2 linked regions of the Lepisosteus oculatus genome follow. The protein of the gene in region 1 binds, or shares a complex with, the protein of each later gene. Links are inferred from orthologs where the notes say so. Each region holds a gene or a part of one and is shown on either strand. Other genes may lie near its edges.

What was found. Proteins that work in one complex are often made in the same cells at the same time.
Region 2: rptor (region 1) and mapkap1 share a complex: the UniProt entries of both Homo sapiens proteins name them as parts of the mechanistic target of rapamycin complex. The link is inferred for Lepisosteus oculatus from reciprocal best matches to the Homo sapiens genes RPTOR and MAPKAP1.

Annotation. Positions count from the first base shown.
Region 1 is NC_090704.1:45,061,910-45,069,154, reverse strand, and holds the start of rptor (regulatory-associated protein of mTOR), read right to left. Parts: upstream 3,011-7,245; 5' UTR 2,568-3,010; intron 1,661-2,567; 5' UTR 1,654-1,660; coding exon 1,486-1,653; intron 1-1,485. UniProt on the Homo sapiens protein: Component of the mechanistic target of rapamycin complex 1 (mTORC1), an evolutionarily conserved central nutrient sensor that stimulates anabolic reactions and macromolecule biosynthesis to promote cellular biomass generation and growth.
Region 2 is NC_090719.1:1,111,221-1,118,397, reverse strand, and holds the start of mapkap1 (target of rapamycin complex 2 subunit MAPKAP1), read right to left. Parts: upstream 3,014-7,177; 5' UTR 2,812-3,013; intron 2,407-2,811; 5' UTR 1,965-2,406; intron 1-1,964. UniProt on the Homo sapiens protein: Component of the mechanistic target of rapamycin complex 2 (mTORC2), which transduces signals from growth factors to pathways involved in proliferation, cytoskeletal organization, lipogenesis and anabolic output.

The sequences.
Region 1 (7,245 bases):
AGTAAAAAAACAAGGTTAATAAATGACTTCAATACAAACAGGATGAATCATGTTTTAAAAGAAAAAAACACTTGAATCTGATTTCACTTATCACACAAGGCAGAGCCCAGTTTGGCTTGCAAAGGTTATCTGCTTGTAACCGATTTTCTAAGCCTGCTGAGTGATTTGTTTGAATGTAACTAAAAAACTTAAAGATCCACATCTGGTCAGTGGTGCCACTGCCATGGTTATTCTGTTATTGCTGGTTGTTTTGGAGAATTATTTGGATTTTTTTGAAAGTTAGATAACAAATGTTACATTTAATATTTAATCTGAAAAGGTTTAAAAGATCACCCTGTCATTCTAGATAAAAAGAACCCCAGCCCTTCAACGGGTAAACAACCAGTGGTGCAGACTGAGCCTGCCTAGCTCTCAAATCCCAGCTCAAAGCTGTACACCACAGCTCTCCTTACAGTGAACGGAACACTGGCGACTCAATTTAAGCAGTCTCAGCTTTATCCGACCTGCTCTGGAAAATAAAAAATACTCTTAAAAATGCTTTATTCTCTGAAAAATTAACCAAGCACACCTACAAGAGGTAGTTAGTGAGCCTATACAGTCATTTTACTTGTATTTACTTTTATTTAGCATTTTTATACTTATATTTAATATTCTGAATTACCATAAGAGGTTTTTTTTCCATAAAGGTTTAGGGTAAAACCTGACAGTATGCGTATTTGACTAGACGCTACTCAAAATCCTTAACCCTACAGTAAGTTAAGAGTAAACTGTAAAGGACACATCACAAAGTAACCAACTCTCCCATATAAAAAAAAAAGAAACGTGCGCAAGAAGAGTGGCCAATTCACAGAGCAGTAGACATGCAAGAAAATGTGCAACGCTGATTAAAAACCAACAGGTATAAATCACGTGCATGGGACAGCCTCATGCAAAGACCCAATTCCACCTCACAACTGCTCGACACAACCTTCTTTCTCCACAGGTACACACAATTGTTTATGAGCATGCGCACGGGCCTTAAAAACCCACTTGCTCCGATCTCCCACAACTGAAACACACCTCTCATGCCTCAGAACGAAAACTGAATGCCTCCCAGCGCAAGAAACAGCAGTAATGCCCAGAAAACAAGGACACGTATCCGATTTGCTGCCATTAAAAGAGTACGTCTGTCTGCACTTGTAGAATGCAGATGACGACATATTTCGGTGCTGTGCTTTCAGGTCAAAAGGGACAGGGAACGAAAAATTCTTGGTGCCTACCCCTAGATTTCAAACAGCTCGAATGTGCTCACTAACATGGGAGTGCACAAGACTAGAAGCAGTACCTTCAAATCTCACTCACAACACAGTCATGTCGAGTTGCTGGGCTGAACGCAAGCAGGAAGCAGACGGGTCACTGCTTTGGACAAGACGCTCGTCAGCCCTGTGAGCGTTTGGCATTCCCGCCACGGCGGCGGCGATCGCGAAGGCAGGCGCGCGCGCTCACCCTGTCCTTCATCCTCCAGCTCTGGGCCAGCGCCTTGGAGCCCTCGATCTTCTCGCAGTGCCGCTTCTTCATGAAGGCCAGCGGCAGGTTCCAGTCCGTCATGTCGGCTTCCTCCTCCTCCCCGAGGCCCACGGCGGGAGAGTGAAGCAGCTCCGAGTCCATTCTCATCAGGGCCCTGCAAAGACCAGCGGCCGCCTCAGAGCACAACCCCATCACAGCATCGAGACCGCAGCCGGTCAGCGAATCAGTAGATCCACTCTTGTCTACTAGAACAGCCACTAGTTATGGACGCAGAGGAGGCTGATAAAGACCCAGGTGAACTCCTGACCTGGAGCCTGAGAGAACCATGAAGGAAAGCTTTTCTGCCTGCCAGACAAGTGATCACTGGCAAGACCCACCTTGGGTTGCAGCTTTATTTTGCATCCCTGGTCAGTTATGATGACTCTCAAAAGTGACACAACTATCCATGAAGGTAAAGGCTCTCATTTGCACCAGTAAGTACTGTTTAGCTTGACCAGAGCTGGGCTGGAAGGAAACCCCACAGACACGGGTGTCCCTCCATGACCAGGACCGGACAGCCCTGAGAGTCTTAAAGGATGTGTGTGTGTTGTGCACGGTGGAGATCAGACAATGTCACTGGGTCAACAAATACACAACGCGGAATCGGCTGCGGTTGTGTACCGACATGCGTGGAATGTCGTGATCGGCTTCATCGCCACGCAAGTATCACTACCTGAACAGCCAGCCACCCGTTCGGGCTTCAGTTCAGTGAAGGAAGTACACATGATCACCCCCCCCTCCCCCAAACACACAAACACACGCGTACAATTAAGAATGTGTAACGATCTGATAGGGGAAGGGAGATATTCGTAGTCTTTAAAAACTACAGCAACAATACTTATTTCTACCGGTCTTACCACCTAACACTACCGCGCGCACCAAGATCCGAAATAAACACAACTAAGCAAGATTGTCATTTCCTTCTTGTAAAACAATAAAACAGACACATGAGAGAAATCTGCCAGTAAGGAAAACAAGAAGCCCTTTAAATGGGGATGATCTCGTTCGCAGATGACACGGACCTTATCTCCCCGCAATCCCTCACACGGGAAAGGGAAAATTAGGCGTCCTTCTCCCAAAACAGAGGCAGAGCCGAAAGGCAAAAATCCCGCATCAAATTCCTCTGCAAACTCAACAGGTTTGGCGAGGTGTCTCTGCTGCCGTGTCCCAGGCCCCCGCTCTCCGTCCCCAGGCAGTATTTTCGAGGGCTCCTTTCGTCCACTCCTCGCTAGGGGCTGAAAGAGAGGCCCATTCTCGCACGGACTCGCCGCCTGAGCCTCGCCAAGGTCTGACCGGCTCCAACCAGGGACGTCACAGCCGAATATGCTGCCTCGTACTGCCGTTTATATCCCCGTCGGCGCTTCCTCTCGCTGTTGATACAGCACTGAGCCTGAATTCGCGTCTGTTTCTCCAGAGAGACACTATCTCAGCACAAACACAAGGGCGCCGCCATGTTCGGCTTGACCCAGCATGCACAGCGGTCGAAAGGGGAGGGGCTGTTGCGTGGGAGTCATTGCGCGCCCCATGTCTGTCGGTCTGGCGTTTTCAGTATGTACTATAGATTAAGCATTTTCTTAATAGCACATTTCATCATACCGAAGAAGCCCAAAGCACTGTACATACAGGATGGGACCCACCTCATTCACCATTTAGGTGCAGCACTTCAGAGCCAACTGTGGAAGCACAGGGCAGACGACCGAATGCCTGTCCAGCGCTGGGCAAAATTAAAGATGCCAGTTAACACAGCCAACTTGTCTTCAGAAACTGAAGAGGGACATGGGATAAGAGCTCTGTGAACAGAGGAGAACATGCAGACTCCTCTCAGTCCAGAATTGATCCCAGTGCCTGCGTTGAATCTCTCAAAACTAAAATCGCCTGGTGGATGGGGAATGAAATCCATGTGACACAACGTGTTTCTGCACTGAGCTCATTCAGCTTGGTGCCACACACATTTCCTTCCCCTCGCGTACTTCCTGGCAGCCCTGACCAGCTGGGGAAAGAAAACGCATGAGAAAGAAACCGCTGAAACAAACCCCAAGTGCCGACAGCACAAGTGAATCCACCTGAAGCTCCAGCTTGTCCGTTTTGCAGCTGTCCCATGGTTTCGCTAAACTCGTCAAACATTCCCTCTGGTCTGTCACAGCAGCCCCATGTCCAAATCGTAGTTTAGGAGTCCTCCCCGTGCTTTGTCACTACTACTAGTAATAATAATTCCTTACATTTATATAGTGCTTTTCTCCACTCCAAGCACTCTACAGGTAATGGGGACTCCCCTCCACCAGTGTGCAGCCCCACCTGGATGATGCGACAGTGGCCATAGTGCGCCAGTACTCTCACAACACACCAGCTCTTAGTGGGGATCAGCGAAGCCAGTTCATAGATGGGCATTATTGGTAGGGAACACCCCTAACACGCAAGGGTAAAACTCTTTTTGAGAAATGCACTGGTATTCTTAATAACCCTGGAGAATCAGAACTTCAGTTTTATGTCTGGATGGTGCCTTTACTACACTATAGTATCCCCATCACTATCCTGGAACATTTGGACCCCACACTGGCTGCAGGGTGAGCACCCCCTACTGGTCCCACTAACACCTCTTCCAGCAGCAGCCTTAGCTTTCCCAGGACGTCTCCCCTCCAGGTACTGACCAGGCTCACACTTGCTGAGCTTCCATGGACTGCAAGCTATGAGCTGCAGGGTGATACAGCTGCTGGTTGTAAGTCTGCTCTGATACAGCACAGTGAAGCTGAACACAGGACTCTCTTAAGGCTCCTTTGTTTTATTTTGTTCTGCCCGCTGAGTTGCTCGGTGTGCCCCTCTCTGGCTCTTCCTGTCATGTGACCAGAGCACAGGAGGGTGAAGTGCCCTCAGGAAAGAGCCCCACAGCTCTTCCATTCCCTACCCACACCTGTGCAGAATCCCGCAGGGACAGCTGCACTGTGCCAGAGTAGGGAACAATAGTGGCACTAAGTCAGTGATCGGTATGCAGAGCACGGCCGCAGGGCCTAAAAAGTAAGTCAAGTCTCTCGTAGTCTTGTAGCTGCAGTTATTCACTGCAAATCTGTATTATGTCAAGTCCGAAATTATCCTACCCAAACTCCCCAAATCACGTCGTCTGAACGTGACGTTACAAAGAAAGTGAGAGGAAGGGCTTTTGTTTGAATAAGGGGAGATCATTCGATTTAAATGGCATGAACAGGATAACCACTGACTCACACACAGCCACAAACAGGATTCCTGCTACTACAGACACCTCAAGCAGAAAAAGATCTGTATAAAATGAATTGCTTGCACTGACATTAGTCTTGCATTAGTCTCAAAGACTAATAGGAAAAAAAAATCTCTCATTTTAATAACATCAGAACATAAGAAAGGTTACAAAGCACAGTAGACCATCTAGCCTGTTAGGTTGTTAAACAGGTAATTGATCCCAGAATTTCCCTAAATAAGCCAGGGTTTTGGCTTCAGTATCCTGGTTGGGAAGCTTGTTCCACACTTCCACAGCTCTTTGGCTAAAGGGTTCAGACTCCGGCAATCCTAGTTCAGCTATCTCCTGCCTGCAGAAACCGTAAGTTGGAAAGCAATGGATGCAAAATCTTATACTACAGAATTCATTTCTAAAAGATCTTAGGATCAACATTTGCACAGAAAGTTCCCATGAAACTTCTTCCTCGAATCTCACCAGCACACCTCGCCCACACGCACACCCACACTGTGGAGCTGTCAAAATCCTGATTGACTAATCACCCCGCAGCTCAAGCAGGGCCTTATGGCCAATCATGCAGTCGGGTGTGTGAGAAGTGTGTCAGAACCTCCATTCGCCCTTCGTCCTCCCGGACAAGGGGAGGAATGGATCCCACATTTAAAGAGCGATCCCCCTGAAAAAAGTCTGACATCTCTAATCTTAGATCCGAATAATAATATGAGTCTACCCCATGCAAGCATCAAATATATTTTGGAAAGGAATAATTTAATTGCAATTCAAGAAAGGCATGCTCCTTCTAAGGGTTTTACTGGGGCAAGATTGCATGACATTTGCTGTAGTCCAATGGGTTTACCATCATCATACCATTCTTTGCTGTTGTCTCCACAATAATTGCTCCCAAGGGAAACCATGGTGAGAAAAAGCCATACGCTGTCGTATGGACCATCCACCTCAGGAATGCTGACAGATGTTGTACGTCCATTAACAGGAGCAGGAGGGCGGATGGGCTGCTGTTTACTGTAAGAAAACACTGGGAAAAGCCAAAAGGGCAACAGAAGCACCAAGCGTGAGCAAATATTGACAGTTAGATGAGAAAAAGCCACTCAATCTTCTTCCACTCGGATGAAGGGGATTCGGGAAGCTGCATGGCTTTTAGTAACGGGACCAGACGTCAGTGGCCATTCAATGTGCTGGAGATAAGGAAGGAAGTCAAGGGAGCAGAGGCGAGGGGGACCGCAGGCCTCCAGCGCCTCTGACCTGGAGCACCACGCGCAGCTACACGGACGCCTGCATGAGCCGCACTGTGAGCAGAGCAGGGTCTCCTTCCAGAGAGTCCCTGTAATCCTGACGAGTGCTGCCAGCAGCACAACCTGTTTAGGGGGTCGTGCGTTTGGCAACAGCGAGCACAAGAGGCTGCATCAAGATTTGCGTCAGCAAAAGCATCAAGACTGAAAAAAGTGAAAGCAACAAGCCTAAAATGGGGTGTCCTTCTTGAGCTCATACAACGCATTCAAGAGCTTTTGGAGGAAGCCTTCTTCTAAAAGGCACACAAGTACTCACATTTCACTAAATGGCCTGCAACAAATCTTTTGAGGAGAGACATCATGTTCCTGCATCAGCTCACCAGACCGGAGCTGAAGTCAGTGTGTGCAGCGTTAAGTGGACTGACAGAAGTGGTCCCTCCCTCGATGGGATGCTAGTCAATGGCTAGGCTGACAGCTGTACTCATGCCAAATCTCAAGAGTACAACCACAGTACCCACAGCGCGGACACCAGCCCACAGCCTTCCAGCTAAGTGCCCACAGCCCACACTGCTAGCCGAGTCTAACAAAGACAAAACTCAGCCAGCAGAGCGCAAAGTGTGAAAGAGACGCCAAGAACACAAGACAAGCGAAAAAATAAAGAAATGGATCACATTCACCGTACAACCAGACTCTGGCCATCCATCTGGGGTCTCTAGACGAGGACTCGAGCCCTGAGCTGGGGCTAATTGTTCCAGCTCACAGTGACTGAATGAGTGGGAACAATCTGGCAGCTGCTCCAGCTATGCACCGGGCCGCAGATGAAAACTTTAAGTGGGGAGCCCGCGTCTCCTCCGAGCCTGATTGACACAGGACTAGCAATTCAGCAAAGTCAACAGACGAGGGAATGGGGGCGGTGGGGTTAGAGACCTGGGGCTTCAGTGGGAAAATTAAAACACAAAGGAAGAAAAGTTAAAAACTTCAACTCAAAAAAGCATACTGTGCTGATTGACTCCCAGCAACAGACCTAGAAGGTTACCACACATCACACAGGATATGAGAGTTTACTGCAAGTAAACTGTAATCAAGGCAGTTTAGAATGCAGGCAAGGGCACCGACATCATTCTGAGAGTGACATGACATCATTCCGAGAGTGACATCACATCATTCCGAGAGTGACATCATATCATTCCGAGAGTGCAACCAAGCAAACAGAGGGATGGTGAGGCAGAAAACAATGCTGTTTGACCACTG
Region 2 (7,177 bases), on another chromosome or scaffold:
CCCAACGAAAGCCGAACCCTCGGAGCTCCAGACGACTCTGCGTCACCCGCACACGCGTGGGCAGCTCGGCGGGGCCAGAGAGACGTGTCCCCTCCTCCGGCCGGGACACAGAATTATCCCGCACGCCGGGAGTACCAGACCCCCGATCGACCGCAGGGGCTGTGTCCTGGGGCACAGCTGGGCACGCCGCCCGCTGGACCTCTGCTTCCGGGCACGCCGAGGGGAAGCTGCTGCGACCGCAGACTCAGCGGACGCCCGCCGGCACGCTCTCCGAGAGCCGCGTCCAATATTCTCAGTGTCGCGCTCCGAGTTCTTCCCAGTGAATCCGTATGCCTCCGGTCCAAACAAGAGCCACTCCGCTCGTTCCACACAATTACAACACCTCCCCAGGCCTGGTCAGCCCCCAGGGGCACTGCTCCACAACAAGGCCCAGGACAGCCCCCATCTGGGGAGTCCTGCTAACACACCGGTAATGACAGCCTGGAACAGGACCAGCACATAAAAGTTTAACCAAGACGAACCAGCAGTGTAGGGAGCAACAGGCTTCACCTTTTCCAGTGCAACCTGGAGACAGGAATATAATTCTGCTGTTTGTTTTCACCCTCATTTTCAGCCTGACCATTAAAAACGCCTTACGGCTAGCCAACACCGGGTGTGGGATATCTTTATTCTCCGTAAACAGCAGGGCCGCACTGTGACGAGGAATCAGTGTGTCTCAGCTATGAACAGCAGGGCGGCTCCGTGCTGAGTGAATCGGTGTCTCAGCTCTGAACAGCAGGGGGGCGCTGTGCTGAGTGAATCGGTGTCTCAGTGTGAACAGCAGGGCGGCTCTGTGCTGAGTGAATCGGTGTCTCAGCTCTGAACAGCAGGGCGGCGCTGTGCTGAGTGAATCGGTGTCTCAGTGCGAACAGCAGGGCGGCTCTGTGCTGAGTGAATCGGTGTCTCAGTGCGAACAGCAGGGCGGCTCTGTGCTGAGTGAATCGGTGTCTCAGTGCGAACAGCAGGGCGGCTCTGTGCTGAGTGAATCGGTGTCTCAGTGTGAACAGCAGGGCGGCGCTGTGCTGAGTGAATCGGTGTCTCAGTGCGAACAGCAGGGCGGCTCTGTGCTGAGTGAATCGGTGTCTCAGTGCGAACAGCAGGGCGGCGCTGTGCTGAGGAATCAATGCGCTGGGGTCCATCATCCCTCTGCAGTTTCAAGACTTCAAATGTAAAAGGCTTGGAGAGGGGAATGGGGGCACTGAGCAACTCTGCAAAAAATTATAGCCCAGCTCAAGACGTGAGAGAACATCTATCCATCCATCTCCTGACTGCCTCTCCCATTACAGGGTTGTGGCAGAGCCAGAGCCTACCCTGGCAAACAACGGGCAGCAGGAGGGACTCCCTGCAGAGGGGCCCACACAGACACACACACCCTCGCGCCAGGCCCGGCTTCCCCAGAAACCAGTTAACCCGCCGGCCGGTCTCCGGACTGTGGGAGGAAACCCACACGGACATGCGGACAGCACCCCAGGCCTGGAATCGAAACCGGAGCCCCAGCGAGGCAGCAAAAACACAAGCACGGCCACAGGCCAGGCTCTCCAACTCCGACAGCGGCGAGACGTACTGCCAGCACGTCTTCCCAGCTTCCTGAACTTCCAGAGCAGCGCGCAAGACAAATTACGCAGATGAACACCTTCTCCGCACTGGCCTTCAGCGACTGGCCCCTGTACTCCTGGAAGGACACAGCATCACAGGACCCCCTCTTGCATTGCACGCAATCGTGTTCCCCACAGTGGTCCTCTACATTCAGCTGCCGGATGCCAGGTATGAGCTGAAATAAGGACTGCAAAGTCCCCAAACACTGGATTGTCTTTCTGAAGGAAACGGAGGAGCTTTCCCAATCTAAAGAAGACTTACTGCAATACAAAAGGTGTGTGTGTGTGTGTGTGTGTTTCCCTGGAGGCAGGTAACACAGGGTCACTCACTCAGTAAGGAGAGCACGCAGAGCCAGGTGTCCGAGTCCACCTCCTCGCACCCGGGACCAGCTCACTCATCAATCAGCAGTCTCTCGCTAAAACGGGGCTTCTCACTCTTTCACGGCGTTAGGAAGCTGCACGCTATTATTTTGTTGTTGTTGTTGTTTTTGTATTGCGGACATAGGGTGTTGTCATGGATGAATGACTTCGGCACTTCTCCGGAGCGACAGCGCAGGCTGGGAGCGGGCTCTCCCGTGTTTTTTGTGGGGGGAGTGGAGGTGGGACCCCCCCTCCCAGGTCAACAGGTCACGGGAGCTGCACCGCGCCGGACACAAGGGAGTCGACCAAAGAAAAACAAACAGCAGAAGCGCCCGTTGGAGGGACGGGTGCCGGCTGGTAACTTATGGGAGTCCGAGTCTCAGCACCGGGGCCGAGACCGCCGGAGCACAGGCTGTGGTAAAGAGGAAACAAATGATAATCATGCAATAAAACACACACGGCCGTGTCAGGCCCTCCCCCGGTGGTGAACGGGTCCGGCAGGAGACCAGGGCAAGGCAACCGAGTGAAGTCCCGCACTCTCCCGGGTCGCCGGTCTCGGACAGCAGGCTGACACCCCCACAGGCGGCAGCGGTCTCCGCCAGCCCCTGGACACAGGTCACACCCGAGGAACAGAGACACACTCGCTCGTCCCGGGGGCCGACACGGACGTGTGGTGCAAAACCGCCCCCGTTTCCCGACAGAGCCCCTATATTTACTACCGTCGCCGTGTGGACAGCGCACAGCGGAGAGATGGTCCTGTAGGCCTTGCCCGCGACAGAAACGGGGTTACATCTTAATAACATTGATTTCAACGTACCGTAACGCATGCCTTTTCCAAGAGAGGGAGAGATAGCAGGGAGACGCGGTATCAGCTTCGCATATCCCCGGCTAGAAACGGTCTGTTTTTACCACTGTAACAGTTCTGCTGCCAGCAGGTTTAATAAACTCCATGAAAACCTATTTCCTCTATAGACTCCATCTGCAGTTCTCACTGGTTTACCTTGACAGCGGAAGTGGAAGGGCTCTGCCCGTCGAGCCAAATGGAAAGCGTCAGAGGCGCTCGTTGACGTTGGAGCCGGCCAATGGGAGGCGAAGAAGGAATGATTGGCACCGGCGTGAGCGAACGGCAGGCCAGCGTAGCGCCCGTGGAAGGCGGGAGCGGGGGCGGAACTTGGCGAGCCCCGAAGCATAGCGCTGAGGGGGCGGGGCTAGTGTGAGGAATGACACTTAATTGATGAAAAAGTGTTTTTTTTCCCCTGCAGGGTTGCTGGTCAGTATAGTACCAGCCCCACAGACAGGGCGCAAACCTCCTCTTCCTGCTCATCATTAACATTATTATTAATAGAAACAGAATAATAGTTATTGGCATTTTTTATGACCATATTTATATTTTGACAAATAAACAACGAGGGGGAGCAAATATCTTCTCGATAAATTCTGGTCCGATTACTTTGACACTGCAATGTTTTCGAAGATCTGGGGTGGGAAGAAAACTGCAGGCCTTTTTCTGCAGTCATCAGAGCAAAGTGGAGCAACATCCTCATCGTATTCAGATCGTTCTGCAGCTGGAGGCCTTGTCAACAGGGTGTCAGGTGACATGAGCCTGGTGACAGCTAACTGCTCACAGGGTGTGTGAGATGAGTAGGAAAACGTGGAATTGTTTGATTTTGTTTAAGCTACATCACATTTCAATCCATCCACCTAGGAACACATAAAAATATAAAACGACAAAATAACTGCAGTACTGGGCGGCACGGCGCTGGGGCCCTGGGTTCATTCTGGACCCTGGGGTCTGTCTGTGTGGAGTCTGTATGTTCTCCCCGTGTTCAGGGGGTTTCCTCCAGGTGCCCCGGTTTCCTCCCACAGTCCTAAGACATCCTCTTTTTACCCCCTTTATTTTAAACATGGCATCCACAGCCACTGACCAGAGAGGAAAGAAAAGCAAACCACACATCTTGTCAAAAAGAGGGTACCAAAGACATACTGGTCGGTTAATCACCTTTTGCTGGAAATCGGAGTGTGTGTGTTTGTGTGTGCCCTGCGATGGACTGGCACCCCGTGCAGAGTGTGTCCTGCCTTGTGCCTGTTGGATGCTGGGATACATTCAGGCTTCCCTGAGACCCTGTGCTGGATAAAGCAGTTGGAAAACAGTAGGATGGATAAAATCCGGTATTTTAAAGCATGCACAACATTCGAAGACTAAAGTTATTACTCTCCATATATGTTATTTATATGAAATACATATTCAGTGTGATAAATGAAGAACTCCATCCTTCTTATCAAACCACAGCAGCACACTGTTCTCATCTGATGTTTTTCATCTCAGATTGAAACCACTTCACTTTTGGAAACACTCATGAAGGTAAGAAAAGGACATGAAATGTAACAGCACAAAAAAAAAACACAAGGAAACTATTTTAAAGAACTGGGAATCGTCATTAGAGGTAGATCACAGCTGTTATCAAACGCATTATATATGTATACACCATATATTTATTCCTGTAGAAAAACTAGTTCGTCCCAGAGACCGTTTGTTTTTTTTTAAACAATTTGATTCTGGGCACTTTAGATAGGATCATTAGCTGGATTCATCTCTAGAAAGAATATGATTGTTATAATTACTCCATGATATAAAATTGAAAGTTTATATATTTGTAAAATATGCTTGCAACCAAAAAGACGTAACATTGTAACTGGTGTCATAAAACATATTGAATCACGTCAACGTCACTGGCCTGGTTATGTGCATCGCAACTCATGAGTTCACTCTTCAGCCCCTCCTTTTATTTTCCCTGGTGCTCGTCCCCTGTGGCACGGCCCGGCTTCCAAAACCGTTAACCACCGGAGCAAAGCGCACACAGTCGTAAAAAAAAAAATTAAAAAAGGGGGTTGTCTCAATTGCCAATGAACTAAAAATCCTAAAATAATCACTGGCTTAAATGCATAAAATCCCACGGAGGTCTTAAAACCAGCAATGGCATCGAGATCTTAAAGCCTTTAGGCCACAGAGGAGGGAGAGGAGGAGGAAGGTGTTGCATAGGAAGTGCCTTGTGCCGAGAGGTGTCTAGAAGTGGCTGGGAGCAGGCCTGCAGTCTAGCGCAATGAAGAATCATGCACTGCACCAGAGGACAGCAGCTCTCGCAGTACCTATGAGCCCTCCTTGACAGGTATGCAGTGCGACTTGACAGCTCAGTATTTCAATGATAAATGCAGTAGTCCTGGGACTCCCATCCGCTGAACTCAAGAGTGTGCTGAGCTGATACTTCAAGGTCAAGTGAATAAGAAGGAGCGAAACCACACAGCTCGCTAAATCACTGCCTTTCCCTTCTGCTTCCTTGCAATTGCAACAGTTGGAACAGCTGGCAGAATACTTGTTTTGCTGTACAGCAGCGCTGCTCCGTTTCTGCCATCTTCCCCAGCCCGGCTAAGATTTTTATTGCGTCTGAGCGACCTGTGTAGCAGTGGGGCGAGCACCCCACGCCGCCCCCGGAAGAGGCTGTGTTTGCTTTGAGTAAACCGCCTCATTTTCACAAAAAGGGGTGCTGCACAGAGCCCTCATAATCTCAAGGAAAAAAAAAATTAACACTGTGATTTAAAAAAAAATGTCAATTGATGCCTAATCTGGAAGAAGGCTGATGCAAAACAGGGGCTTGTTTCATATTACAGTGAAGTAAACAGATCATTATTATAACCAATATTGCTCGTATTATTTATATTGAATTCAATGACTCATCCCTCAGCCTTTACTGAAAAAGCATGCAGGGCATGAAGCCACAACGAAAGGGTTAAAGGACACATCAGCTGACTGGAACACTTGAGCACAGCTTTTAGCAACATTATTCCTCAACTAGAGCTCACAGAGGAACTAATGGCTATATCGTGAGAATACTGTTTTCATGACTAAATGGCTTTAGTGTGGCCAGTGTGAGTTATTTGCCCTTTGAAAAAAAAAAGATGCTAATGGCTCTTTGGAGGTAAAGACTTTCTGACTGCCCCTTTGTCTTCATAATTAAAAGCCCTTTTAGAAGATGGCAATGCTAGAAACGTTTGCTTTTCAAAACAGCGAGAGTGATGATGGATTGCTTAAATTGCTCTCTCCTGATAAAGATTCTGAAATGTGCACAAAGGAGGAAGCAATTTAATTTAAAAAATGTACAACGCTTTATACCAGTTAATGCACTTTGGAGCATTTTATGTATTGACATCCTATGTTTTGTTCAGCAAACACTAAGCGCCAAGTGTCTTCTGGCAACAGAGATCAACTTCACATGACTAAGTTCTGCACTGTGTACGCTTTGAGCTTCATAGCACAGGGCATTCATGATGCCTTAACAATTTGTTCACCCTGAGGATTATGAGCATCTAAAAATAAACGATCTTGTGCAAGGATTAGAAGCTAATAAGGTAAAATATTTGGGGAAGAAGACACATGATGAGTTGCCCAGGGTACCAGTGTACCTTAGTGATTAGCTTACACCCCCTCACACCGATCAGAACCGTGCACTGCTGAGGGTTTAACCATAACTGTGGAAAAAAGGAGAGGCCACTGCCGAAATCAAATTCTTCTGAGTTGCTGGTTTAAGGCCGTTTTTCTGGATGAACAGCTTGGGGACGGATTTAAAATGACATGCTTTTTACAAACACCAGGAAAAATCAAAGGCTCTTCTATCAGCAAATCTTTTTTTTTTCCTTCTAAAGTCCTCACTCTTCTGTCATTAGGGAACAGGGCTCAATTAAAGAGCCCAACCGGGAAATTTAATTTAGGCAGAATAAAGCCTAATAGAAATACTGCACAACCGTGGACATAACCAATTTATCTATACAGTAAGAACTCCATATTAAGTGTCATGAAATTGCATTAAAAGGAATTGATCGCACTGCTTTGTTTCTTTGTCAGTGCCTGTACTGTACAGTGGCTTCCTTTGATCTGAAATTTCTTCCTCGTTATACATATATTTTTAAATGTATTTTCATGTGTTGCTTTTTATTTTTCACTGTGAAATGCAGCATTCTTAAATCACCAGTGAAACTAGTGCAGCGTCTTTTTTTTTAATTCCTCTGGTAATCTCGGTTGCCAGCCTCATTAAAAGTATAAGGCGCTGAATGCAATATTAAGTGGCTTTGCTTTTCCCCAGTGCTGCTCGCCCCCATACCTTAGCTCTGAAATTTTAAATTGTTTTACT